7 linked regions of the Oryctolagus cuniculus genome follow. The protein of the gene in region 4 interacts with the protein of the main gene of each other region in a biochemical or structural test. Links are inferred from orthologs where the notes say so. Each region holds a gene or a part of one and is shown on either strand. Other genes may lie near its edges. The genes, in order: CSNK2A2, MAGI3, PRDX1, PTEN, MAGI2, NHERF2 and SLC25A3.

Region 1 (4,235 bases), on a different chromosome or scaffold from region 4:
TGGCCATAAAGGTCAGGGCTGGCCTAGGCGAAGCCAGGTCTCCCATGTGCATTCCAGGGGCCCAGTGACTTGGGGGCCACCTTCTGCTGCTTTCCCAGGCTCATTAGCAAGGAACTGGATTGGAAGTGGAGTAGCTGGGACTCAAACTGGTGCCCAAACGAGAAGCCAGTGTTACAGGTGGTGGCTTAACCTTCCACACTGCAATGCTTGCCCTGGGTCTTTTTTTCTTAAAGATTTAGTTTATCTGAAAGGCAGAGTCACAGACAGGAGGAGATGGAGGGAAGGAGGGGGAGAGAGAGAGAGAGAGAGAGAGAGAGAGAGAGAGAGAGGCAGCCAGGACCCCAACCAGAGTTCATGCGGGATGCCCAGGCGGCAGGGTAATCTACAATGCTGAACTCCATCAAGGGCCTTATCCAGGAAGCAGCATGAAAAAGGATGGGAGTCAGAGCTGGCTGGCTGGGTGAGGGGCCGCTAAGAGTGGGGCAGAAGGGGGAGCCAGCCACAAGGAAGACCCAGAAGATGCAGGAGAGAAGAGAGTTCAGGGCTAGAAGGCACAAAACAGGCCAGACTGGCCACCCCAGCTTAACCAAGTGACCGAAGTGGACGTTCAGAGAAGGCTCTGGAAGAGAACGTGGGGGACGGTGTAGGAGAGGGGTTTTGTGGGGAAGACTTGGGATGAAGGAGCATGGGGTCTCAGGACAAGGAGTCTGCGAGTGACAGAGCAGGGTCCACAGCGGGGAAAAGGGATTAAAACACACACACACACACACACACACACACACACACACACACACACGAGGGGAGGGGACATCTTGAGGTGGGGGAGGTTCTGCGGTTGAAGAGTGCGTCACTGGGGAAGAGCGGTTGGGTAACAGGGCTATCAAGACCGGGTACTGCGGGAGGTCTTGGGGTGGGTAAGGTCTGGATGACCAGAGGTGACGGTCTTGGGGTGGGCGTCTCGGGGTCAGTCCTCAAGGGCTCAAGGGCAGCCGACGGCAGGCGGGGTGGCCCTGCGGGAGAGACCCGGCCAGCCCCAGGATGCGGAGAGCCCGACCGGCGCGCCGGGGCGGGGGGCGGGGCCGGCACCGCCCCGCGGGTCCCCCCACGCTGCAGGGGGCGCTGTGAGCCTGGGCGGCCCCGGGCTGGGCGGCGGCCGCTCCTAGTGAGCGCGGCCCCTTTTCCGGGTTTCCTCCGCCTCCTCCTCCTCCTCCTCCTTCTTCGCCGCTGCCCCTTTCCCGGCCGGTGGCTGCCGCTGCCGGTGCCGTCGCCGCCGCCGTCGCCGCAGCCGCCGCCGCCGCCTGGGGGCCGCGAGCCGAGCGGAGGCCGCCGCGGAGCGCGAGCGCCGCCCGCCCCGCCGCCCCGCCGGCTGCTCCAGGGCCGGGCCGGCTCGGCCGGCGCCCCCCGCGCCCCCAGCCCGCCCGCCCCCGCGGGCCCGGCCTGGCGCGGCCGCCCGCCGCCGCGCTCCTCCTCCTCCTCCGGCGCCCCGCGGCCCGCCGCCTCCTTCGCCCGCCGCCCCGCGCCCCCCGCCGCGCCGCCGCCGCCGCCCTCTGCGCCCCGCGGCGCCCCCCGGTCCCGCCCGCCATGCCCGGCCCGGCCGCGGGCAGCAGGGCCCGGGTCTACGCCGAAGTGAACAGCCTGAGGAGCCGCGATTACTGGGACTACGAGGCTCACGTCCCGAGCTGGGGGTAAAGCCGCCGCCGCCGCCGCCCCCCGCCGGGGCCTCTCACCCCCACCCCCGCCGGGCCGCCCCCCGGCGCAAACCGCACTCGGCCCCCGCGATCTGCCTCCCGCAGGCCGCTCGCCGGGGCAGGGCTGGGCTGGGCGGCAGAGGCCCCCACCTCGCACATGTCCTCCTCTTCCTCTTCCCTCACCCGCGGCCGTTCCTCCCCCGCCCCCAGCTTTGTGCACCCCTCTTGCCCCTTCCCTCCGGCGGGGGGGGGGGGGGACCAGGGCCTAGCGCGGAAGGGAGGCAGCAGCCGCCCCTCAGGCTGGGGGTTTCTCTCGGGGTGGGGAGTCAACAGCTGTCTTCTATGAAAATGCGCTGCTTTTTTAGTTTTCTGACACGAGGCGGGGTGGGGGGGATTTTTTCGAAAGATGTGCAGATTCTCAGAGCTGGCGCTGGCTACCTTCGGGGTGTGAAATAGGGGGCAGGTGCTGTGGAACCGCGGGCAGGGCGGAGTGCTCCCAGGGTCTGCGAGATGGATGATGGACTCAGAGCGTCTACCCCCAAGTTACAAGGGACCAGTTAGGTTGGGAGCCCTGCAGAGCAGCAGGAGCCTGGTGTGTGTTGTAGCTTTCATATAGGGACTGAGTTGCAGCATGGATTATAGACACTTCCAAGCGCTTGGTTCGTGGAAGTGGCCGGCCGGGGCGTATCGTGGGCATAGGCTCGGCGGACCCCAAGGCCCAGCATTTATGTGTGTCTTTTGCCTCTCACAGTAATCAAGATGATTACCAGCTGGTTCGAAAACTTGGTCGGGGAAAGTATAGCGAAGTATTTGAGGCCATTAACATCACCAACAATGAGAGAGTGGTTGTAAAAATTCTGAAGGTGAGTCTCCTATAAGTGGTTTGTAACTTTTTCCCCCACAGGCCAAAAGGACGTGAGTTACCCGAGCCTCGTTTCTAGAACGAGCTGTGCCGGCTCTTGCGTTATGTCTCTTCTGTCCAGGACGCCCGGATCCCACCCCGTTTTCCTTGGACTTAAGAAAACACGCAGACCGGCCTTAAATCTAAGCAGAACGGATCAGGAACACCCTTGTTCTAAAATGTAAATTAGAGGTTCCCAAAGCAAAAATCCCAAAAGGGCCCCATTTGTTACAAAATAAATAAATATTCAGAGGGAAGAAAAGCCTTTTCATGGAGATTCCATGGATCCGAGGGCTCTTTGAGCGCTGTGTTTGTTAGTCCACAAAGAAAGTTGGAGAAAATTGGAGCCAAGGGGAAGGAAACTCCTCGGGGTGATAACCACTTGTTTCTCCTCTGACAGTGAAGTTTCAGGTGGGACAGCTGAGGGGCGCAGGGAGTGCTGGGAGCCCTGGAGCTGCTTATCAGCTAGTAAAACTGGAGTTAGAAGGCACTTTTAATCACTCAAGCTGTTGGAACAAAACTGTCTGATGTCTGCTTTCGCAATCTTAAGTTTGATGATAGGCCTTCTGTTATCTCTTGAGTGAAGACGTAATGAGCCTGAAGAGTTGGCTTCAGGTAACTGTGTGGCTTTAATAATGTTTTACTGGGTGTCCTGCAAAGTTGTTCTTAGAAGCTGTCATGGGTCTTCATTATCGCCAGATCCCTGAACGTGTGTTTGGAGAGGGTCTGTGGCGGGGGCTGTGGGGCTCAGAAGCTGCCTGTGCATGTCAGGCTGTGCGGGGAGGCCCTGTCCTCTCAGGCCGGGCTCAGGCTTTCTGGGAGCCGCCTCTCAGAACCGTGCCCAGCAGCCTCGCTCAGTGCTGTCCTAGCCGGTGATGGAGGAGCAGGATTCTGGTAGAGAGAAAGCGGCAGAGGCCGCTGTGCCGTCAGACGCTGGGCACATGAAGTGAGGGACGGGTGTTAGGGATTTGCAGACTGGCGCCCCCTCCCCTGAATATGAGCCACCAGTGAAGTCCCAGGGCCTCCCCCCACCCCAACAAGCATAAATATGTGAAGAAATGGTGTTCCTTCAAGGCAGTCACCTGGGGAGGCCATGTAATTCCTCTGTGTACATAAGCAAAATGCTTTACTGCAGGCTGCTTTGACTTGAAGCAGAGCTGAAGTTGGAATTAGAAATAGCCGTATTCCCCAGCTGTCTGTCTGGAAGAATGAGTGCTGACTCTGAGGCAGTTCCAGAAAAATGTCTAAACTTTGGTGCAACAGCAGCATTGTTAGAGTAAGTGCCATTTCCTGTGTCCTCTTTGAACGGCGCAGCGTTCAGGTGTGTGTGTGAATGCCTGTCTGTCCAGGAGAGCATCGCGTTGCTCCTGGGTCATCCTTGCACAGCACTTCCTGGTGACTAGAGAGTTTTTCCTGTTCTCTGAAGCGTGCTGGGATGTTTTAGGGAACTCAATATGAAGACTGCCACAGGTGGTTTTTACAAAGGAGAGGCCCAGGCACAAAGAAACTCAGCCAGCTCACCACCAGCACTGCTGCTCCCTGCTTTTCCCTCTCAGCTTTCTTCGGCGCTGGATTGCGGGATCTTCATGTTGCGCCCAGAGTAAGTTCCAGTGTTCTGGAATGAGCTCCGCAGGCCCCTCTGGTGT
Region 2 (3,500 bases), on a different chromosome or scaffold from region 4:
TTTACATTTTGAAGAAAGGCTACTTTTATAGCTGCAAGAAATAATTCATACTCTCGTATGCATCCTGCATCGTGAGGAAGGAAGATTAGTTTGGGTTTGAGGGTTGTTTTTGTCAATGCCCCTAATGAATCTGAAGATTTACACATCTTCCCTACTAGTTGGTCAATGTGCAATGGAACACTCAGGAAACAGAGATTTAGAAGGTGCTTCCTCTAACTAGATTTTGACATTTTCCTGAAAAAAAAAAAAAAAAAAGTGACTCCTATTTTGTTTAGTTAAAATACTATTTACTTCTAAGGACTTAATTGAGGGCTCAAATTTCTTCTACTGGAAGAGTCAACTTTTCTCTTTACAATCCTTCATGGAAGATAACTGAATGTGAATACACAGCCAGGTAGACAAGCACTATTTTTGGAACAAATTTCTGAACTGATTTGCACTAAGCTTTCACCCATAGCACTAACACAGCAACTCAAAAGTTTGGTCTGCATTTGGGGGATCCTGGCTCACCTGATTGTGCCGACTGCCCACGACGGAGATCACGGCGGTATCAGGTGGGGTGAGGTGCTTGTGGTCAGACCAGGAATGTCTATAGGGAGTGGAGACATCTTTTCCCACTTCACCTTCCAGGGCACTTCTACAAGAGAGAAGTCAAGTCACTCTTGTAAGTGAGAAAATGAGAATCATTGTAAAAGTAAAGGCAGGTTAATTTCTTGTCTTTGAAAAGCTAAACGTTGCCGTTCTCCTCTGACAAATCACTATTGGCTCACTGTGTCCGGAACCAGGGCTGCTTGAGAAGCCCGGCCTTTAACTCCCAACCCAGCCCACGTCTGACGCCAGCACTGTCTTTCTCAAGGGCATCTCAGTGCGGTTTCCCACCAAGGAAAACTGCACTCAGTAGCTGAACAGAGGGCAGAGAAGCTGACCTTGTCACAGTGAAAAACAGCTTTCCTGCAGTTGCTGAGTTTCTGGAAATCTAGTTTTTGTTCCATGGCTGTGTTTGAACAAAACAGGAAAGAAAGATGCTCTGCTCTGCTCTGCTCAGGCAGTCTGAGACGACAACCCAAGCAGATCTGCAGATCTTGAGTTTTCAATCTTTTTTTTTTTTTTTTTTTTGGAGGAACTTTTTTTTTTTTTAAGATTTATTTATTTACTTGAAAGTCAGAGTTACACAGACAGAGAGGAGAGGCAGAGGAGAGAGAGAGAGAGAGAGAGAGAGAGAGAGAGAGAGAGGTTTTCCATCCGCTGGTTCACTCCCCAATTGGCCGCAACGGCCGGAGCTGCACCGATCAGGAGCCAGGAGCTTCTTCTGGGTCTCCCACGCAGGTGCAGGGGCCCAAAGACTTGTGCCATCTTCCACTGCCTTCCCAGGCCATAGCAGAGAGCTGGATTGGAAGAGCAGCAGCTGGGTCTTGAACTGGCGCTCATATGGGATGCCGGCGCTTCAGGCCAGGGCGTTAACCCGCTGCACCACAGCGCCAGCCCCTGGAGTTTTCCCATCAAAACCATAATGAACAAGAGCAGCAGAAGCTGAGGCTGCTGTCACTTCTTTCCACCTTCGTGCAACTCTCATGACAGGATAATCGCACCGCGCCTGGGAAGGGGTTGAGGAGAGGGATGGAGACACTGGGGGAAAGGGAATAGTGAAAGTATTTGAGGGTGGAACCTGCCAGAGTTCTTATGTTGACCTCAACAGCTGGCTTTCACATTAACAGCATGGGAGTTGGGGATGCAGTGGGTTATGAAGATTGGGGAGATCAGGAGCGAAAATCTAAGAACAACCTCACCTGTCCCCAGGTGTGTGGTTGGCCTGTGACTGTCCCATGGGCCTGTGTTGCAGTGCTGGGCTCTGCCGGGCTGAGTTTGTTCCTGATGGTGGACCGTGATGTTCTGTTCAAATGAAAAAACAGTAGAAGTAAGAACGGATACAGAAAAGCATGCGGCCAACAGGATCTATCAAAATGAGACAAGCAGCTGTGAGCCGACTCTTCAGGGAGAGCAGCATGGCTGGCAGCTGTCCGGAACTGGAACATTAACATCTTTCCCACCTGGGCTTTTGATTAATGCTTACAAGTCACAAGAACAGAAATCATATTCTTACTTCCCACTTTCATTTTTGTTTGGCTCATCCATACAATATAGAAATTAGAAATGAACACACTCAATTACATTTATCTAGGAGACAGAGTCCATGACCCATTATGCAGCCTGCTCTGTGACTTCCCAGAGCACACCAGTGATAATTGGTGATCCATTCTAGATAACAGAGCTAGGTTCCAAGAGTGTTGGTCTGCCTCATAGAATGGCAGATGTCCTAAACAGCACTCTGGCCTCAGAATCAGCCCTTAACGCATTCGGGTCCAGCTAAAAAGCCCATGAGAGTATTTCAGGCATGGAAAGCCAAGACACTCCGGCAAAAACACACACACACACACACACACACACACACAAAACCTAAATGAAAGATCTCTGTGAGATCTCAGCAGAAAGAACGGGCCATCAAAGAAGCAAGTACCTTTCTCTGAAGGGAGGAGAAAACTTCTACTTTGACTATGACCTTGTCTAAATAAGAGTGGAGTTGGTGAACTCAAAAGGCCTCCATAGCCTTGGCAACTCATGACAAGAGCCTCAGGTGATTACTGATGCCATAAATTGGAGTGTCAATTGTTAAATCAACAACAGGAGTCACTGTGCACTTACTCCCCATGTAGGATCTCTGTCCTTAATGTGTTGTACTATGTGAATTAACAGTATAACTAGTACTCAAACAGTACTTTATACTTTGTGTTTCTGCGTGGATGCAAACAGTTGAAATCTTTACTTAGTATATACTAAATTGATCTTCTGTATATAAAGATAATTGAAAATGAATCTTGATGTGAATGGGATGGGAGAGGGAGAGGGAGATGGGATGGTTGTGGGTGGGAGGGAGGTTATGGGGGGAAAAGCCGCTATAATCCAAAAGCTGTACTTTGGAAATTTATATTTATTAAATAAAAGTTAAAAAATAAAAATATAAAAAAGTAAGCATCCTGAAGGCAGGGGTTTTTGTGTTTTGTTTGCCCCTATACCCAGATCAGTACCCAGCAGATAGTAGGCACTAAGTATCTGTTGAATAAATGGCTGAACTGCTAACAAAGTGAACAACAAAGCAAAAGAATAATTCACAATCATGCAGGGTTTATGTTAGAAATTCAAATATAGTTTAAAAGTAGGAAATCTATGTTGGCACCTAGAAGAATACTTGGCACAGGCATGGCAGGCTCAAGTACTTCAAAATCTAAGAGAAGCATTGAAAACTTTTAGAATGAATGAGAATTAAGCACTGAAAAATTAATACTAATAAAGCATATGGTTGGATTCGTTCATTTTCTATTACTATAACAAAATACCTGAGGCTGGATAACTTGTAAAGAAAAGTGTTTGGGGCCGGTGCTGTGGCATAGTGGGTAAAGCCATTGCCTGTGATGCTGGCATCCCATGTGGGCACTGGTTTGTGT
Region 3 (3,500 bases), on a different chromosome or scaffold from region 4:
TAAGTATTTAAAAAAAATAACATATTGTTAGGCAGAGGACATCTTCCCTTGCTTATTTTGCCCTAGAGAAGAATTAAGTTGGAACAACTCCTCCTTCTGTCAGTTTCTTGCAGACTCTTGGCAAGTTCTCTGGAGGATTGCCTTGCCTTGAATTCCCAGAGTAGCTGGGTCTCCTGGGGCGATTGAGGATGTATGTAGATACCTTAGAACAGAATCCTGAAATGCACATGTCAGGAGTGCCCTTCTTAGTAGGGTAGTGTCATCAGTTCCTAGAGTTGGATTTTGGGTAGAACATTTGATGAGGTCCCTTGAACATCATACTTGGTTGTTGGGGTGAGAGCACGTAATGGGGTTTTCTGTGCAGGGGTCAGCAGCTTCTGACCCAGGTGAATAGCACCATAGGGAGGGGACCTTGCTAAGGGTGCAGACAAGTAGCAGGAGCTGCTCTCCAGTTCCCTAGGGCTTGACCTGCTGAGGCGTCAAAGTGCTTGTTAATACAAAGCCCTAGAGAAGGTGTTTAGCTGAGTCAGTTTCTACTCTTTTTCCAGAGTGAATGTCAAGGGCTGCTTGTTAAGACTTTTCAGACTTTGCTGCCACCTGGAAATAACTGAATATTTGAAATTGTTCCAGTAGCTCAGCCCATTAGGCAGTGAGAGGCTGCCTGGCCAGTTGGAATATCTGCTTAAATTGTAATCTGAGTGACTTTCAGTAAAATTGGAGCTAGAAGCCCTGTTCCCTATCAGTGCTCTTGGAACATTTTTTTTTTTTTTTTAAGATTGATTTATTTAGAAGGCAGAATGACAGAAATCAAGAGAGACGAATCTGGGCCTAGTGCTGTGGTGTAGTGAGTTAAGCCTGTGGAACTCTTAACCCATCTGGGTGCTGGTTTGATTCCCAACTGCTTTAGTTTCCATCCAGCTCCCTGCTAATGGGCCTGGGAAAGCAGTGGAAGATGGCCCAAATAGTTGGGCCCTTGCACCCACTTGGGAGACCTGGAAAAAGCTGTTGGCTTTGGTCTGGCCCAGCTTCAGCTGTTGGGACCATTTGGAGAGTGAACCAGTGGATGGAAGATACCTCTTCTCTCTGTAACTCTGCCTTTCAAATAAAAGAGAGATATATCTCTGGTTCACTCCCCAAATAACCACAACAGCAAAGGCTGGGCCAGACTGAAGCCAGGAGCCAGGAGCTTCATCTGCATCTCCTGGGTGTAGCAGGAACTCAAGTATCTGAGCTGGCATCTGCCTCGCAGTCTTCAGTCCTCTGATAGGATTTATGAATTTCTCAAGTGAGAGGGCAAGTGATCCACTGTACCACTCCACTTTTGGAACTTCCTTCTTAGGAAATATTTTTTAAGATTGATTTATTTGAAAGGCAGAATTAGAGGGAGAATTTTGGGGAGTGCTGGCTCACTCCCCAAATGGCTGCAATGGCCAGGGGTGGGCCAGGCTGAAGCCAGGAGCCAGTAGTCTCTCCTGGGTCTCCCACTTGGGTGCAGGGGCCCAAGTACCCTGGGCCACCCTCTGCTGTCCTCTCCAGCGCACCAGCAGAGAGCAGGACCAGAAGCAGAGCAGCTAGGACCTGAACTGGCACACATACAGGATGCCAGTGCTGCAGGCTGTAGCTCAACCCAGTGTGCCACAACATTGGCCCCTCTATTAGGTTTTTTAAGAAGACATTTCTTGTGATTCGTGTAATCATTTAAAGTTAACCATCCCATTACTGTAGTTTATCCATTGCAGAGAAGTGTAGAGGGCCTGGGTTCTTATAACCACCTTGCAGTAGAGGAGACACCAGCAATTCGCTTGGCACTGTTTGTCAGCACTGGAGTTAGGCCACCCAGTGCTGATAATTGTATCCTTGATTTTCTTTGGAAAATTTGGTGTTAATTTTAACCACTCAGAGAAGATCAAAATTAGTGTTTATATTGTAGTTGGTAGCTGTGAGAACATGGAGGAGACAGAATAAGGTGTGGAACTGGAAGGAGCATTTTTTACTTGGGTCCTCCTGCTGCAGCAGTTCTAGAAGAGCTGCTGAGAGACATCTGTATTGAGCATCTTGTTTTATTTTTTCATATTTTAAAAAGTATTTATTTGAAAGAGTTACATACAGAGAGGGAGAAACAGAAATCTTCCATCTGCTGGTTCACTCCCCAGTGGCTAGAGCTGGGCCAGGAGCTTCTTCTGGGTCTCTCACATGGGTGACAGGAGCCCAGGGACTACCATCTTCTGCTGATTCCCCAGGCACATTAGCAGGGAGCTGGATTGGAAGTGGAGCAGCTGAGACTTGAAACAGCAGCTATGTGGGGTGTTGGCATTGGAGGTGGAAGCTTTACCTGCTGTGCCACGACACCTACCCCAAGCATCTTAGTGTTTTAACAATTATTGTCTTTCATCAACTTAAAAAGCCTTTTTCCATAGGAAAATGTCTGCTTTATTCTCTCTGAATCAAGGAAGAGTGCTTAAAAGGCTAATCTAGGACTTCCTTTCCTTCCCCAGGAAAATATATTGTGTTCTTCTTTTACCCTCTTGATTTCACCTTTGTGTGCCCTACGGAGATCATTGCTTTCAGTGATAGGGCAGAAGAATTCAAGAAACTCAACTGCCAAGTGATTGGTGCTTCCGTGGATTCTCACTTCTGTCACCTGGCTTGGTATGTATATTGGCATGTAGAGTTCACTGACTTCCAGCTCTTCATGGAAGGACTGCAATGGTTCTGCCTTCCTTTGTTGCTCTTTTATTACCTGGCAGCAGAGGAGAAGCAGCTGAGTACACCCGGTGACTAACCTTAAATGTTCTCAGCCATTCACTTTACTGCTACAAAATATTTGAAGTTTTTTAGGAAGTTAGATTAGGAATATGGGAAAGAGGAAGAAATAAGTAGAGTTAATCTTACTATGCAAAAGTTTGCATGAATGGTCATACCTTACGTGTGCCTTTGTAGGATCAACACACCCAAGAAACAAGGAGGACTGGGACCCATGAACATTCCCTTGATATCAGACCCTAAGCGCACCATTGCCCAGGATTATGGGGTCTTAAAGGCTGATGAAGGCATCTCATTCAGGTTTGTGTACCTTCCTGGGGGGCGGGTGATCAGCATTATCCAGTTGGCTGAAAGCCATTTATTCTCTTATTTATTGTAAACCTTTTGTTGCGTCTCTCATTCTTCCAGGGGCCTCTTTATCATCGACGATAAGGGTATCCTTCGACAGATCACTGTAAACGACCTCCCTGTTGGCCGCTCTGTGGATGAGACTCTGAGACTAGTTCAGGCCTTCCAGTTTACTGACAAACATGGGGAAGGTAAGCACAGAGTGGTAATAGGGTGGGAAAGATGATAGGAGCAAAGACTACTAAACACTGTAAGAAGGAAAGGGTGATTATGCCTCTAACAAATTGAAATATCTGGATTACAGTGGATTATGGGGATGGGGAGCAATGGAAAAGCTTGGGGAAGATAAAGGCTTTTTTGTTCAAACTGCTTATTCTCCATTTCTGTCC
Region 4 (3,500 bases):
TTTTGTGTAGAGACACAGACTCCTTTTCTCCATTTTGGTTTATATTTCTTGGAAATGGGTTATTGTATGTTTAGTTCCCCAAGATTTAGTTTTTTGATTAGAGAGAAATAAGTATGAATAGGAAGTAATAAGGAGTGAAAAAATGGAGTTTATTTTAATATGCATTTAGAAAGAGCAGTTTGTACTTTATATTCTTTAGAAAAGTTCAAGAGCTCATTGTAAAATAGACTATCTTGTTTAAAATATTAAGTGTGAACATTTAAAGCAGATCTAAGGGGGCCAGCACCATGGCATAGCGGGTAAAACCGCCCCCTGCAGTGTTGGCATCTCATATGGGCTCTGGTTCAAGTCCTGGCTTCTCCACTTCCGATTCACCTCTCTGCCATGGCCTGGGAAAGCAGTGGAAGATGGCCCAAGTCCTTGGACTCCTGCACCTGCGAAGAAGACCCAGAGGAAGCTCCTGGCTCCTGACTTTGGATCTGTGCAGTTGTGGCCATATGGGACTGAACTGGTGGATAGAAGACCTTTCACTCTGCAACTCTGCCTTTCAAATAAATAAATAAATAAAATAATTTTTTTTTTTTTGACAGGCAGAGTTAGACAGTGAGAGAGAAAGGTCTTCCTTCCGTTGGTTCACCCCCAAGTGGCTGCTACGGCAGGCACGTTGCACCGATCCAAAGCCAGAACACAGGTGCTCCCTCCTGGTCTCCCATACGGGTGCGGGGCCCAAGCACTTGGGCCATCCTCCACTGCCCTCCCGGGCTACAGCAGAGAGCTGTCCTGGAAGAGGAGCAACCAGGACAAAAAAAGATTTATTTACTTTATTTGAAAGGAAGAGGCAGAGAGAGAGATAGGTCTTCCATCACTCCCCAAATGGCTGCAATGGCTGACGCTGGGCCCATCCAAAGCCAGGACCCTGGAGCTTCCTCCTCCAATGTGGGTACAGGGGCCCAAGGACTTGGGCCATCTTCCACTGCTTTCCCAGGCCATAGCAAAGAGCTGGATTGGAAGTGGAGCAGCTGGGACTTGAACCAGCGCCCATACGGGATGCCAGCACTGCAGGTGGTGGCTTTACTTGCTACACCACAGTGCCTGTCCCTTCATATTATTTCCAAGAAGTGATTTTTTTTAGAATAGTCATTTTAGAAGAAAAAGTGATCAAAAGATTCCCTCACCCCGGCGTCTTTTATTCTGAAGGTTTTCAGGCATACATTGTCATGTAAGAAACTGAAGTTACTGTGTTTGTATTACTGTGAAATAAATCTGCTGTTTAATCAGACAATTGCACTTAATTTCCAGGAACTTCTGTTAAAATAAATCTTGGATTAGATAGCTGATTAAATCATAAAGAAAATTAAATCATACCTGATTTTTGTTTATGCCTACACGTAACTGTACACATTTCTAAAGCTAGTATTAGAGTAGATAGAAGTTATTTTACATAAGACTTTAAGGTCGTTCTTAGCTATTATCTACAGTTTGAGTAAAAGAAACACAAATGAATCAATGTAACAGGTACCTGCAGGTTGGCGTATAGTAGTAGTGTTTTTGTTTACCTTTATGAAGAATATCAAACGATGCATAATTTTGTTGACTTCTTGGGGCAGATATTGAATATAGGTGACATGTTTTTCTCCAACAAAAATTTAAAATTAGACATTTCTTTCCTTTTTTTTAGGACAAAATGTTTCACTTTTGGGTAAATACGTTCTTTATACCAGGACCAGAGGAAACCTCAGAAAAAGTAGAAAATGGAAGTCTTTGTGATCAAGAAATTGATAGTATTTGCAGTATAGAACGTGCAGATAACGACAAAGAATATCTAGTACTTACTTTAACAAAAAATGATCTTGATAAAGCAAATAAAGACAAGGCAAACCGATACTTTTCTCCAAATTTTAAGGTCAGTTAATAACCCTTTGTGGAGTCAGTGGTTACATGCATACGTGCCTGTTTTATTCCAGGTGTGCAGATGAAGAACTTGGCTGACTGATTTTCAAATTAAATGATGTATTGTTTAGAAGCAATGTTTATGAAACAATAACCTGAATGTTTCTAATGAAATATCAGGATACAGAAAGAGTCAAAGGAGCTGCGTGTTTCCTTCTCCTGTTGTTTGATGAAATCTGGGACAGAGGTGTGAGAGGGGAGTTAAGTGAATGGGTTATGAAGTAGAAATGGGGGAATTTGTTCACTGCTGCTCACAAATAGGCTTGCTTCTTTCACTCTTTTTTACACTTTTAAAAGACGTACTAGGTACTTGCATAATTTAGTGTGGTTCTGCCTCCTTTGTTACCTCTATCCATATTCTTTTATGCTCTCTGGGATTTAGTCATAGTGGTGTGGCTTCAGTTCTTGCAAATACTGTTTCTGCCTCTGGTCTTACCAGTTCTTTTCCTTCTTCCTGTACCTTTCCACCCTAGTCTTTTCCCTTACCTTCATATAGGCCTTCTCTCATTGTCCTCCCCTGCTACTTCTTTCTCAGATTCCTCTCTGGTTCCTCATATTATGTGTTAGAATTAATTGATTTGTTTCATTTTTGTCTGTATGTGATGTATGTGTGTCTTTGAGTGTGTGTACTTCTATTTATAGGTGTGAATTCTTCAGATTAAAAAATCTGACTTGTAAACATTCCCAAATAATAGTTCACCATTTTTTTCTTTCCTTTGGCTATTTTTATTTTATTTATTTATTTTTTTTTTACAGGCAGAGTGGACAGTGAGAGAGAGAGAGAGAGGGAAAGGTCTTCCTTTTGCCGTTGGTTCACCCTCCAATGGCCGCCGCGGCCAGCGCACCGCGCTGCCGATGGCAGGAGCCAGGTACTTATCCTGGTCTCCCATGGAGTGCAGGGCCCAAGTACTTGGGCCATCCTCCACTGTACTCCCGGGCCACAGCAGAGAGCTGGCCTGGAAGAGGGGCAACCGGGATAGAATCCGGCATCCCGACCGGGACTAGAACCCGGTGTGCTGGCGCCGCAAGGCGGAGGTTTAGCCTAGTGAGCTGCGGTGTCGGCCCCCATTAACTTTTAAAATGTCTTTTTTGCTTTGGTTTTGTAGTTTTCTGTTTTAATACCTCAAGAGGTTTTATATTTGTGATTACAAAAACTATTTTTAGTAAACCAGTGTATTGTCATATATATCATGGTAAATGCTGTGAAAAATAGAGATGAGATAGAGAGTACTTTTATTGGTTTTATTTGTTTTGGCTAGCCTGATTAGAGAAGATCTCACCAAACTGTTGACATTTAAGTGGAAGCCCTAATTCAGATGAATGAGATATACCGGTATCAGGGAAAAGAGAGAAGAGAAGATGCAAAAACCTTGAGATAGGAGTAGCTTAGTTTATTTGAGAAATGAAAAGTCAGTGGCTAAAGGAGAGTAGACAGGAAAACCAGTCCATGTGTGAAAATATCGAAATATTTTTCAGCACAGAACTGGTGTGGTCTAAATTTTTATCTTTAAACATTGGCTCTACTCCCATAAAATATGGACAGATGAGGA
Region 5 (4,252 bases), on a different chromosome or scaffold from region 4:
AAAGAGAAAGGAAATTTCTATTCTGAACCCTGCCCACCTTTGCTGGCAAGCACCGTGCATGTTTTACCTGACTTCACCTCAACACACCCTTCTCAGATTAGTATTTTTAACCTGATTTACCAAATAAAAGAAACGGAGGCTTAGAAAGGTCAATTGGTTTAGTTAAGTTCACACTTCTACTAAGTAGCAGAGGAGGGATTCAAACCTGGTCTTTCTGTTTGGGTCGACAGAACCTTTTTTTATTTTTGAAATTGAACTGCCTGCCTCCCACATTTCCTTCATCTCAGACATCAAGAACCTTCACAGCCCAATGCTTTTCAGACTCTGCTTTAAAGACATGAGTGGGTGTGCGACTTTTGTGTGTGTCTGAAACATCTCATTTGAAAGTTAAGCAAATTGAAATTCATTTACCAGTTACAGGAATTAAGAAAAAAGATCCTCCTAATGTCTAGCGCGAAATGAGGGCGCACACGAACATCAGCAGCGCACCTGCATCCTGGGGCCCCCCTGGCCCTCACCTCTCCTCTTGGCTGCAAACTTCAAGGCAAGGAGAGCTCCGGATGGAGCCCAACCAGCCCAGGGCTCGCCCTGATTCTGCCACTACTAGCCCCGCCTCGGCGCTTGCTCTCCTTTCTCGGTAGCATTGGCTTCTCGGGCCAGGTCATCTTAAGGTTTCTGCCCAAGTACCAGTCCTACTGGTATGTCCTTACCCACCCTGCGCCGCAGGTCCCAGATTCACCTTTCCACTCCTGCAGCACCAGCCCAGCAGCCCCTCGCTTTCCGTCGCTGCTAAGCGGGAAAGTCAAGCCCTTGTAACCCTGGGGTCCCCAGCACCGCGTTTCAGCGGACAAGCCCGGCCCCCGCGCCTAAACGCTGCCCTGGGGACGTGAAGCTGCTTCGCCTTGCGCCCGCAGGTCCGGCCCAGCAGCCGCCGTCTCCCTGATTCTGCCCTGCTCGGGCTCCGCGACGGACTATGTGGCTGTGAAAGCCCAGAGTCCAAGAGTCCCAGATTAGCAGCGCGGAGCTCCCAGGCCTTCCTTCCCCTCTCCTCGGCCACCACGAGCCGCGTCCCGGCACTTCCTCACGGACGCGTCGGCCGCGCGGGTCCGCGAGCTCTCTCAGCGGCGGCCGAGCGCGGCCCGGGGGCTGCCACAGAGCCCCGAGCTAGGTCCGCGCCGGCCTCCTCCTAGCGGGCCTCGGCTCCCCTCCTTCCCGGCTCCCGCCTCCTCCCGCAGGCTGCCAGGGAGACCCAGACTCTCTCTCTCTCTCCCTCTCTCGGCCTTCACTACCGGGTCAAGCTGCCGAGGGAGGGAGCGAGCGAGCGCGACAGCGGCGAAGCGCCCCTCCTCCTGGGCCTTGCTGCCGTCTCCCCTCAGCCCTTACAGTACAACACACACAAGCACACGCACACGCGCGCGCGCGCACACACACGCGCGCTCCCGCGCGGGCCCCGCCGCCGCGGCTGCCATGGATATCCGCTAACAACACAGCCGGCGCGCGCGCCCCGCGCACCACGCAGGAGTGGCCCCCGGCTCCCGACCCTTCTGCCCCACCCCCACGCGCCGGCTCCCAGCGCCGCTCGGTTTGCTCCGGCCGCCGCCGCCGCCGCCGCCGCCACAGCTTCCTCTGCTGCGGGGCCACAGCCTTGAGTGTCATTCAAGGGACAGCACCACCTCACCCTCGCTCTCCCACCTCTGCCCCGCCGTCCCTCTCTCATCCTCCCCCCCGTTTCTCGTCCACACTCCATCCCAAGAAGAGGCAAAGCGCCGAGCGGAGCTGGGAGGAAGGCGAAGTCTGCTCTCCTCACCCCCGTGCCCCCCCCACCCTCCCGTGCCTCCATCCCTGTTCGCGCCCCTATCAGCCCCTCTCCTCAACCCTCCAAAGGAGCCCCTTAGCCCCTGGAACTGAGGCGACCCAGCCCATTGCCATGTCCAAAAGCTTGAAAAAGAAAAGCCACTGGACTAGCAAAGTCCACGAGAGTGTCATTGGCAGGAACCCGGAGGGCCAGCTGGGCTTCGAGCTGAAGGGGGGCGCCGAGAACGGACAGTTTCCCTACCTGGGCGAGGTGAAGCCCGGCAAGGTGGCCTATGAGAGCGGCAGCAAGCTGGTGTCGGAGGAGCTGCTGCTGGAGGTGAACGAGACCCCCGTGGCGGGGCTCACCATCAGGGACGTGCTGGCCGTGATCAAGCACTGCAAGGACCCCCTCCGGCTCAAGTGTGTCAAGCAAGGTGAGCGCCGCGGCCGGCTCGTGCCGCGCCGCCGGCGGGACGGCTGGGGGGCGGCGGGGCGAAGGGCAGGGTGGGCGCGCCTAGGAAGGGGGTGTGTGGCGCGCCGCTGGGGTGGGGTCCGCCGAGGTCCTCCGGGAGGCTGCGCGGAGGGGTTAGTGCGGCTTGCGAGGTGAAGTGCAACTTTGTTTGGGTACTGAGACCCCCGGCTGCAGAAGGTGCCTGGCCTGGTCTGACCTCCTGAGGCCAATTGAATGTGCGTCAGTGGCATCGCCCGCAGTGGATGAAGAGATCTGGGGATGGGAGAAAGGAAGGAGAGGAGGAGGAGGAGGAGGGAAGGAGAGGGGCAAAGAGGAAGAGGCAACTGGAGGGTGCAGCGGCATCCCCAGCGGGGCTCTGAGGAGCAGAGGGCGGTGGGGCGCGCGGGCCTGGAGACGCCGAGGTCTCCCCCTACCACTGTCCCCCGGGGGATCCCCGTGCCACTGGCTGGCGATGCAGGGAAGGGACGCATGGCTTGGGGCGCTTTGACGGATCTTCTGTAACTTTTTCCCTGCCTCACCCTCCGGGCCCCCTCCCCCGCCCCGGTGGCGTCATGTGGGCACCGCGCGCGTCACGTGCGCACTGACTAACCCCACCGCGCACCCTCGGCCGGCAGGCGGCCGCCGGGAGGAGGCTCCGGAAGCGGGCGCCGCTCGGGGAGCCCCGGGCGAGCGCGGGGCTGCTGCCTGGAGCGCGCCGTGCTGGGGGCTGCCCTGGCGGGGTGGGAGTCCCCTGCCCGCGGGATTGGAGGGGGCGTGTTTCTGAGGGGGAGCAGTGGGATGGGGATGCCGCTGGTTGCAGCTCGGGCGCCTTCAGCTCCAGGCTGACTCTGATGGGCTTCCGCGGAAGGCTGTGTCGTGTGTGGATGCTTGCAGAACTCTGTTCAGTAACTCTCTCGTGTCTCGCAAGAAAATTGTGGTCCTGAGGGAGGAAAGACTGCGATGCAAGTTTGGCTGGAGGGCAGTTTGAGCTAGAATAAAGTGGATCTCTGTTTTCCTCGCGCGGTTGCACACTTTTTCCCAGCTTCAGTGGACGTTTCCAGGGCAGCGTGTGTGTGTGTGTAGGGGAGCGCTCTCGTGTCAGTCTGGAGGGTGGCTGTCCACCTGATGTTGTTTGACCCTCAGAGGTGGAATCAAGCCTGCTATTGCCTGCGTTTTCAACGACCATTTAATCCCCTGGCATGATCAACTACAGAGAAACACTATTAAGGGGATGTTCCTAGCTAGAAAAGGGTTCTGCAAAAACACTTGTTTAAAGGTAAACAAGAGAAAAAGAAGTCCGGCAAAGTTTCTGAAGTGTTAATTGCCCCACAAGGCAATGACAGTGGGGATTCTTGAGTATTAGTAGAACGGAGGCTAAGGGAAACATTGATTTTAAGTCATCACGATGACTGCCTGACGCTGAAGAATACGCAAATAAGGGAATTATTTGGTATCATATATTCTATGAAATTCAGGGGAAAGACAACATGGAAAAATAAGGGTATGAAAGCAGTTATTAAATATTGGAAAGATACCAGGTAAGAAAGGAAATTCTGGCTATCCTGTAATAGTTCCCAGGACAAAACTAAGACGAAAACAGGGAAACATTTAAAAGATGGAGCATCTTTATCTTTGCATTCATTAAAGGATCCGTTTTCTGTTAGGACCTTCCAGAAATCTGAGCAGTACCGTAAGTTGAGGCTCCCATTATTGCGGTTGCCAAAATGACCGTTTATGGGCACATGAGCTAGATAGCATTAAAATCCTCCATGATTTGGCCTAAGATACTCTCTCAACTTCTGTATTTTATTTGGAATACTATTACTTCTATAACTCAGGAAATACATACGTAGGTAGTAATATATTTAAGTGAAAATCTTTACGTTCTGTGTTACCGCTCAGTTCCAGGTTTCACTGGTTAATTGGTGATAGGTTCTTGAAATTATGTTCACAGAGACTCCACGGGAACCTGATTCACCCCTTGAATCACTATTGACAAAAAAAAAC
Region 6 (4,138 bases), on a different chromosome or scaffold from region 4:
CACACCCAGGCTCATTTCTAACTTCCCACCTAACACTTCCTCACCCCTCAAACAATGTGGCCACAAAGCTACAGCCTGGCAGGTACTGGGCGCTGCGGGGTGGGGGCACACAGTGGGCGCAGGGTCCAGGGTGCCAGCTGCAGCTGGACAGGCGGGTGGTCAGCCCAAGGCACCGACCCTCAAGACCTGCAGAGGTGAGGGTGGGGGCACCCACGATGCCACGAGCTCCTGGAGGTGGGCACCCAGGGGGCCACGGTGTGGGTGGGGGCTGGAGAGCCCAGGCCAAGAGAACTGGAGACGGGAGAGCAAGGGGTGAGGACTGGGGCCCACCTGGGAACTGTCTGGACTGCTGCGCCCCACCCCTGGGGCAGGCATGGGCAGGGGTCCCTGCTGGGCTGGGGCGGGGCAGGCCAGGCCGCCTCAGGCCTCAGCCGTGAAGGCTGCAGGCTTGGGCCGCACAGCCCTGGGCCTGGGGGAGGGGTGCTTCCCTCTGTGCCAGTAAAACTGCACCTGGAGAGGCCTGGCCAGGCAAAGTGCTGCTGGCGGTTGTCAGCCGCAGGGCAGGGGAGGCGTGGCAGAGGCAGGGGGCAGGTGCCAGAGACCTCGGCTCAGGTGTGCCGGTGCTGACCACAGAGTACAGAGGCCAAAGTCTCGGGGCAGGAGGCCAGCCCCCGACCGACCCTGCAGCCTGGGACTCCAGGGTCTGCCGGGGCCTGGGGTAGGCCTCAGCCAAGTGCGAGAATGGAGGGCCGACCTCTAGGGAGCCCACGGGCACACAAAGCCCACCCTGTCACTACGGCCTCCAGGGGCCTCCAGGCAGGTCGTGGGGCTCTGTGCAGGGCAGCCCTGGCTGCGGGAGGGTCCCGGGGGTGAGGGCAGTGGCTGGGGAGCAGGTGAACCGTGCGGGTGGGCAAAGGACCGCCCAGGGAGGGCAGGCAGGGCCTCACTCCGGGGCCTCCCTGGGGGTTCTGCCTGGGGCCACTGTCTCCCACCTGGCCCCCAGCTCAGGAGCCGGCTCTAGGCCCTGCACAGGAAGCCAGAAGCGCTGGCACCAACGTGCTGCCAGACACAGGGGTTCCCCGGCCCTGAAGCCTCCCCTCCAGAGCCCCTCGGGCAGCTGGGGCCGGGAGGCAGGGCCAGGCCAGCGCGTCGTGGACCCGGGGCGGGGGCGGCCGGGCGGCGGGGGCGGGGAAGGGGCGGGCGCGGGGGCGGTGCCCCAGCCCGAGCCGGAGCCCGAGCCGGAGCCCGAGCCCGAGCCCGAGGCGACTGGAGCCGAGCGAGCGCAACGCCGAGGCGGCCGCCCGTCCCCCGCGCCGCCCCCGCGCCCCGGCCTGCGGGCCCCGTAGCGCCGTGGCCAGCCCGCGGCCGGCCGGTGGTCAGCGGGCGCCATGGCCGCGCCGGAGCCGTTGCGGCCGCGCCTGTGCCGCCTGGTGCGTGGCGAGCAGGGCTACGGCTTCCACCTGCATGGCGAGAAGGGCCGCCGTGGGCAGTTCATCCGGCGCGTGGAGCCCGGCTCCCCCGCCGAGGCGGCCGCGCTGCGCGCGGGGGACCGCCTGGTCGAGGTGAACGGCGTCAACGTGGAAGGCGAGACGCACCACCAGGTGGGTGCCGCGCTGCGCCCCGGCCGGCTGGGCGCTGCCTGCGGGTGGCGGGCCCCGCACCTCCCCCGCGACGCTCAGCCCCGCACCGCAGCGCGGGGGAAGGCGTTCTGGCAGGGAGGGGCCGCACTGCGGCTCCAAGCCGGCCCTCGGCCCCCTCCCCCCGCCTGGCTCCAGCCTGTGTGTCGGTGAACCCGGGTGCTTCCTGAGCCTGTGGGACTGTGTGACCGCGCAAGGCCTCCGGGGTCCTGCCCGTGTGGGTGCCAGCAGCCAGGCCCCTGCGCGTCTGGGCGGTGTAGACCGGCCAGTGTGTCTGCAGCCGGGGTGCCTGGATCCGGTGCGAGTTGGCAGTCCCTGGTGGCACATTCCATAGCTGCTGCGACCCTCACCCTCCTCGGGGCGCTGTGGCCACTGCCCCCTGCTCCTGCAGCTGGAGAGGGTAGGGCCTCTTCCCTTGCAGGCTGTAACCCCTGGGATGTCCGTCTCCCGCTGGCCAGGGACTCACCTCAGATCCTGGCCAGAGTCCAGCCTCCCTCCGGACCGGCTGCTCCGGCTGCTCCGTGTCCCTCACAGCACCGCTGAGCCTGTGGCCTGTCTACGTGGCCAGTACTGGGCCTAGGGGTTAGCAGACAGCTGAGCCACTGGCCGGGCTTCCCGGGGTCCCCTAGCCTCTGTCTTCCAGCGAGACTGGAAGCTGGGTAGAGCGGTGCTGTGTGCTGAAGTGCAGTGGGGGTCAGGGCCACAGGTGGGGGAGGCAGGGCTGGCAGAGCTGGCACCCCGCCTCTGTGTGACAGCCATGGCCATCCTCGCTCCAGCTGCACCTGCTGTTCCGGGCCCCTGGGCACTTGTCTGAGAACTTCACACCCAGCCCCAGCCCCAGGAGGTGCGGCCGGGACTCTGCTTTACAAATATGGAAACTGAGGCTTGGAGCTTCAGTTTGGGTCACAAGTCGGGGAGCAGGGCCGGGCGAGGACGGGCCTGGCTCGCTCCCCCTGTTGCTTGACAGCATCTGGGGAGCTGGGCAGCAGGTGGGAGCCTTCTGCTCCGCTCTTCCACAGGCCGAGGGCCATAGTGGGCACTGCCCTCTCCCTGCTGGCACACGCTGGCACCCTGTGTGCTCCCAGACACACAGCGCCTGGAACGCCGCACCTGTGCCACGGGCAGACCTGCCCCTCTCCCCGCTGTCCTCCTTACCCGACCGTGTGCGGGGGCCTGAGCGGGAACCCAGCTCTCAGCTGTCCGCAGGCCCAGCAGGAGTGGGTCTGTGGTCTGCAGGCAGACGGTCTGTGTCTAGGGCAGGTTGAGATTCCCGTGAGAAAGTTGAAAGCAAGCGAACATGCACAGCCAAACTAACACCCGACAGCACCTCCCGCCTCCAACCTGGGCTGGAAGGCAGACTTGGAAACAGATGGTGCGCACACACGAGCGTGTGCACACGCACGGGCAGACCGAGCCCCTGAAGCTCATTCAGTGCCGTCTTGGTCACCTCCACCCTGGGCTGAGAGCAGCTCAGGGCTGGCTGTGTCAGGGAGCCGGGGGCGGGGGGCGGAGCCGGCGGGGCCAGCCGCCCACCCCTGGCAGCCTGGCTGCCTGTCTGCCTGCCAGCCCAGGCCATCCCGGAGTGGTGCCACCGTCCACGTGCTGCCCGGGCTGCCGGCCGCTGACCTGCCCCCGTCCCTGCCTGCCCCAGGTGGTGCAGAGGATCAAGGCTGTCGAAGGGGAGACCCGGCTGCTGGTAGTGGACAAGGAGACGGACGAGGAGCTGCGCCGGCGGCAGCTCACCTGCACCGAGGACATGGCCCAGCGAGGGCTCCCGCCCGCCCACGACCCCTGGGAGCCAAAGCCGGACTGGGCACGTGCAGGCAGCCTGAGCTCTGACGCTGGCCAGAAGGTACGGCAGCCTCTGCCCGTGCGGCCACCCTGGCCTCTTGACAAGTCTTCACCCCGCCCCGGCTGCCTTCTGGGTCCCTCTTCTCTCAGTCCGAGTTCCTAACTGGGGGTAGACAGGACAGCTCGGCCCCCTTCCCGGCTCGCTCTCTGTCCCTGCCCTTAGCCTGGCCCAGGGCGACGAGGCCCTTCCTGCCCGGTGGGCGGAGTCACCGGACCCTGGGAAGGAGCGAGCCTGGCCCCTCAGCAGCGTCTGCGTCTCTGTCTGTCTGTCTGGTCTGAGTGTAGGGTGAAGCCCTCGGAGAGAGCTGGCCCCAGAAGCTGCTGTGCGCAGCCTGGTTCAGGAAGCTTCTAGGGCGAGCCCACCCTTCCCCCAGTCTTCAGCAAAGACCCCCCAGCCGCAGGAGGGGTGGGGACCTGGAAGTAACCCTGCGGGGCAAGCATGTGAGCCCTGGGGAAGAGCCGTCTCCTACCTCTTTGGTTGACCACATCCCTTGGGGGGTTCCGCCTAGGGGTTCCCCAGATTCCGCTTTGAGAACCCCCGGCCTGGGGGCAGTGGAGGTATTGGGCCTAACGTGTGGGGTGGGCGGGGGCCTTCACGTGGACCTTTTTCCTTTCCCACCCTCTCCCACCACAGCTGGCTGCGCTGTGAG
Region 7 (4,018 bases), on a different chromosome or scaffold from region 4:
GCCTTATAAATTTGTATTTAGTTTGTCTAATGTTCACAAAACATTAATTCTAACGGATTACCATATACTGGGGATACAGACGTATCTTTTTATAGATTTTAAAATGTAGGAGTTGGTGATAAATCTCTTTAGTTTTGTTATATATTTTTTATTTATTCACTTATTTTTTTATTTATTTTTTATTTTATTTTATTTATTTATTTTTTTTTGACAGGCAGAGTGGACAGTGAGAGAGAGAGACAGAGAGAAAGGTCTTCCTTTGCCGTTGGTTCACCCTCCAATGGCCGCCGTAGCCAGCGCGCTGCGGCCAGCGCACCGCGCTGATCCGATGGCAGGAGCCAGGAGCCAAGTGCTTTTCCTGGTCTCCCATGGGGTGCAGGGCCCAAGCACCTGGGCCATCCTCCACTGCACTCCCTGGCCACAGCAGAGGGCTGGCCTGGAAGAGGGGCAACCGGGACAGAATCTGGCGCCCCAACCGGGACTAGAACCCGGTGTGCCGGCGCCGCTAGGCGGAGGATTAGCCTAGTGAGCCGTGGCGCCGGCCTCAGTTTTGTTATATATTTTTGAGGGAATTTTACCCTCTTTATCCCTCCAAGACCTAGTTTGATTCAGAGCTAGACTTTAATAAATACTTATATATTTTTTAAGCTATTAGATATTCAGTGAATTCATGTTGACCTTTTGTGTAGTTACTGAAATTTTATTTTAAAAGAAAAATTGGTAGTAATGTAATTGTGTATGAAAAGTACAGCTAATTGATTTGTTTTCTTATTTTAAATAAAGGTGGACCCTCAGAAGTACAAGGGCATATTTAATGGATTCTCAGTTACACTTAAAGAGGATGGTGTTCGTGGTTTGGCTAAAGGATGGGCTCCGACTTTCATTGGCTACTCTATGCAGGGGCTCTGCAAGTTTGGCTTTTATGAAGTCTTCAAAGTCCTGTACAGCAACATGCTTGGAGAGGTATGTGATTTAACTTTGAAATTGAAAGTCCTGGGTGTTTTTAAAAGTTAAATATCAAAAAGGATCCTAGTTACTTTTGTGTGACTCACCATGTTTTACAACTGGAGAAATGGTCCCAGGAAGAATGGGCAACATGCCTGAAATCATAAGACTGCTGTCAGAGATAGGGTGAGAAACAATATTTCACTAAATTTCAGTGCCTTTTGTATTACACTTTGTCACTTGCCTAAGTTGAGTTTTGAGTTTGATTTTTTTTTTTCCTTAAAAGAAGGTCCTAGGTATTCATTTGTTTTGATCCAGTGCCAATTACACGTGTACTTGACACCTAGATAGATGTTCAAAAAAAGTTCACATTGTTGTATAGTTAAGTTAATGAAACTGAAAACAACATCTAATGTAATGTGTGTTATCCATGGACTGTGTGGTAAGAAATACTGTTAAAATGGCTGACAACCTAGTGGTTTCCTAGAATGGTTAATTAAAGTTAAATTAAACAGATGCAACAATTCATATGTCTCCTTATGTTTTGTATTTTAGGAGAATGCCTATCTGTGGCGCACATCACTATATTTGGCTGCCTCTGCTAGTGCTGAATTCTTTGCTGACATTGCCCTGGCTCCAATGGAAGCTACTAAGGTTCGAATTCAAACCCAGCCAGGTTATGCCAACACATTGAGGGATGCAGCTCCCAAAATGTATAAGGAAGAAGGTCTAAAAGCGTAAGTAAGCACTTCACTAAATTTATAGTTTTAAAAATACTTTTTGGGGGTAACTTTTTTTTTTTTTTTTTTTGGCAGTAAGCTCACCAGAGTGTTTTGTAGGTCTTTTTAAAGTTATGTTATTTAACTTCTAGTTACCTGTAGGTGGCCCATAAATTCTAGGGGTAAGATAAGTTAATACAAGGTTCATGTCCTGAATTAACTTTTTTTCCTCTCAAGTAAGAACCATTTGTTACTCTGCAAATGATTTTGATATTTGACCTAAACATGTACTTTTTTAATTTGGGGGGAGGACTTGTTAAAATTCTTGCAATCTAGCTATAAGGCCACAACATGCTTCCTTAGATCCACCTTTGTGGATGAATCTTAAACTGAGTTCTACTTGTAAACTTTTTGTTTCTTGTAGTTCCAGTTAAAGAAACATCCAGCAACTTTTTTGGTTGTATAGTCAAAGGTGCTTGAGTCATTGGCATGTGAGATAAATATACCTGCATGTTAGTCTAATGTTCTGATAGAAATGACATGCAGTAATGCTGTCAGTTTTCACTATCAGGACTAGGCTGGTGTGCGGACACTTCTGTTAATGATGAAACTCGGTGCTATATGAATATTTGCAACCATGTAACTAAGTTTCATTACCTAGATTCTACAAGGGCGTTGCTCCTCTCTGGATGAGACAGATACCATACACCATGATGAAGTTTGCCTGCTTTGAACGTACTGTTGAAGCATTGTACAAGTTTGTGGTTCCTAAGCCCCGAAGTGAATGTTCAAAGCCAGAACAGCTGGTTGTAACGTTTGTGGCAGGTTACATAGGTATGAATTCTTTAGAACACACTTGTCTGTAGAATTATGGGCAGATAATTTCCATGTTGACCTCTTTGAGGAAAAAATATTCCAAAGGTTATAAAGTCAGTTGATTTCCTGTAACATTTTATGTACCTTCTGGATTAAGAAGTACTTTCTAATTATTTCCTGTAAGGATTGCTTTCAGGTTTGCCTGATAATTTTGTGATAATGTCATTATTAGGCGTGGGAATGTGTTTCTTTTACTGTAGCATTTTTTGTTTTGTTTAGCTTATTAAGAATACATTTTTAATGCAGGAAGAAGTGTTGATTAAAATGTCATATTAAAAACTTAAAGGTTGTTTTTACATAGCATAGACTGCTTTATAACCTTGCCAATCTTTAAATGATTCTATAACTAAAGGAAAGAAGTCATGAAAAAAAGACAGTTGTCTGTAGTGTGAAATTTTTTAACCCTGTATTGAATCATTTTTTCCCCCCAGCTGGAGTCTTCTGTGCAATTGTTTCTCACCCTGCTGATTCTGTGGTATCTGTGTTAAATAAAGAGAAAGGTAGTAGTGCGTCTCAGGTTCTCCAGAGACTTGGATTTAAAGGTAGGATTATTATTATTATTTTTTTAATTTCCTGTGAAGAACATTGGTTTTGGGTATATGGCATGCCTACATTCATATTTCCTGTTTGATCCAGGTGTATGGAAGGGACTCTTTGCCCGTATCATCATGATTGGTACTCTGACTGCACTACAGTGGTTCATCTATGACTCTGTGAAGGTCTACTTCAGACTCCCTCGCCCCCCTCCACCTGAGATGCCAGAGTCTCTGAAGAAGAAGCTTGGGTTGACTCAGTAGATAGATCGAAGCAAATGTGGACTGAATCTGCTTGTTGATCAGTGTTGAAAAAAGTGCAAAAGGAACTTTTATATATTTGACAGTGTAGGATATTGTCTATTCCTGATAAAATTACTGTAGTACCCTTGCTTAAAGGCAAGAGTTTCAAACTTACTGTTGAAATAAACCTATCTGTTCATGATTTGTCTGTGACGTGATATTTTAAAAACTAGTTTTTAGGGGCTGGTGCCATGGCACAGAGTTGGTTAAGCCATCATCTTCAATGCCAGCGTCCCATATGGGTGCCAGTTCATGTTCTGACTGCTCCACTTCCAATCCACTCCCTGCTAATGCTCCTGGGAAGGCAGCAGCAGATGACCCAAGTCCTTGGGCCCCTACACCCCCGTGGGAGACCCAGAAGAAGCTCTTGGCTTTGACCTGTCCCAGCCCCAGCTGTTGTCATTTTGGAAGTGAACCAGCAGATGGAAGACTCTGACTTTGCAAAGTAAATAAAAAAACCAAACACTGGTTTTTATTAAAAGATTTAATCCTAAAACAGGATTGAAAGAACCCAAGTGTAAAAATTCAAGGTACAAATTCAAGCTAACCATCAGTGGTTGAATATTTCAATCCCTATTCACAAATTATCATGTCTCAAGTTTTGTCTCTTTGTACATTTAGGAATCATGTCCTAAAGTCCTA

The links.
Region 1: the proteins of PTEN (region 4) and CSNK2A2 form a complex in vitro, tested with the Homo sapiens proteins (2 studies listed by BioGRID, with this or other methods). The link is inferred for Oryctolagus cuniculus from reciprocal best matches to the Homo sapiens genes PTEN and CSNK2A2.
Region 2: the proteins of PTEN (region 4) and MAGI3 form a complex in vitro, tested with the Homo sapiens proteins (2 studies listed by BioGRID and IntAct, with this or other methods). The link is inferred for Oryctolagus cuniculus from reciprocal best matches to the Homo sapiens genes PTEN and MAGI3.
Region 3: the proteins of PTEN (region 4) and PRDX1 form a complex in vitro, tested with the Homo sapiens proteins (2 studies listed by BioGRID and IntAct). The link is inferred for Oryctolagus cuniculus from reciprocal best matches to the Homo sapiens genes PTEN and PRDX1.
Region 5: the proteins of PTEN (region 4) and MAGI2 form a complex in vitro, tested with the Homo sapiens proteins (2 studies listed by BioGRID and IntAct, with this or other methods). The link is inferred for Oryctolagus cuniculus from reciprocal best matches to the Homo sapiens genes PTEN and MAGI2.
Region 6: the proteins of PTEN (region 4) and NHERF2 form a complex in vitro, tested with the Homo sapiens proteins (2 studies listed by BioGRID and IntAct, with this or other methods). The link is inferred for Oryctolagus cuniculus from reciprocal best matches to the Homo sapiens genes PTEN and NHERF2.
Region 7: the proteins of PTEN (region 4) and SLC25A3 form a complex in vitro, tested with the Homo sapiens proteins (2 studies listed by BioGRID). The link is inferred for Oryctolagus cuniculus from reciprocal best matches to the Homo sapiens genes PTEN and SLC25A3.

Annotation. Positions count from the first base shown.
Region 1 is NC_091449.1:41,552,430-41,556,664, reverse strand, and holds the start of CSNK2A2 (casein kinase II subunit alpha'), read left to right. Parts: upstream 1-1,435; 5' UTR 1,436-1,581; coding exon 1,582-1,685; intron 1,686-2,439; coding exon 2,440-2,551; intron 2,552-4,235.
Region 2 is NC_091438.1:56,692,869-56,696,368, forward strand, and holds part of MAGI3 (membrane-associated guanylate kinase, WW and PDZ domain-containing protein 3), read right to left. Parts: intron 1,891-3,500; coding exon 1,788-1,890; intron 638-1,787; coding exon 511-637; intron 182-510; exon of another isoform or gene 1-181.
Region 3 is NC_091438.1:127,373,074-127,376,573, forward strand, and holds part of PRDX1 (peroxiredoxin-1), read left to right. Parts: intron 1-2,495; coding exon 2,496-2,649; intron 2,650-2,940; coding exon 2,941-3,063; intron 3,064-3,171; coding exon 3,172-3,302; intron 3,303-3,500. UniProt on the Homo sapiens protein: Thiol-specific peroxidase that catalyzes the reduction of hydrogen peroxide and organic hydroperoxides to water and alcohols, respectively.
Region 4 is NC_091446.1:42,726,683-42,730,182, reverse strand, and holds part of PTEN (phosphatidylinositol 3,4,5-trisphosphate 3-phosphatase and dual-specificity protein phosphatase PTEN), read left to right. Parts: intron 1-1,678; coding exon 1,679-1,903; intron 1,904-3,500. UniProt on the Homo sapiens protein: Dual-specificity protein phosphatase, dephosphorylating tyrosine-, serine- and threonine-phosphorylated proteins.
Region 5 is NC_091434.1:144,051,635-144,055,886, reverse strand, and holds the start of MAGI2 (membrane-associated guanylate kinase, WW and PDZ domain-containing protein 2), read left to right. Parts: upstream 1-1,452; 5' UTR 1,453-1,927; coding exon 1,928-2,228; intron 2,229-4,244; exon of another isoform or gene 4,245-4,252. UniProt on the Homo sapiens protein: Seems to act as a scaffold molecule at synaptic junctions by assembling neurotransmitter receptors and cell adhesion proteins. Plays a role in nerve growth factor (NGF)-induced recruitment of RAPGEF2 to late endosomes and neurite outgrowth.
Region 6 is NC_091450.1:33,196,704-33,200,841, reverse strand, and holds the start of NHERF2 (Na(+)/H(+) exchange regulatory cofactor NHE-RF2), read left to right. Parts: upstream 1-1,338; 5' UTR 1,339-1,388; coding exon 1,389-1,601; intron 1,602-3,288; coding exon 3,289-3,489; intron 3,490-4,138.
Region 7 is NC_091442.1:101,540,601-101,544,618, forward strand, and holds the end of SLC25A3 (solute carrier family 25 member 3), read left to right. Parts: intron 1-783; coding exon 784-963; intron 964-1,500; coding exon 1,501-1,682; intron 1,683-2,012; exon of another isoform or gene 2,013-2,258; intron 2,259-2,325; coding exon 2,326-2,498; intron 2,499-2,971; coding exon 2,972-3,082; intron 3,083-3,176; coding exon 3,177-3,337; 3' UTR 3,338-3,518; downstream 3,519-4,018. UniProt on the Homo sapiens protein: Inorganic ion transporter that transports phosphate or copper ions across the mitochondrial inner membrane into the matrix compartment. Mediates proton-coupled symport of phosphate ions necessary for mitochondrial oxidative phosphorylation of ADP to ATP.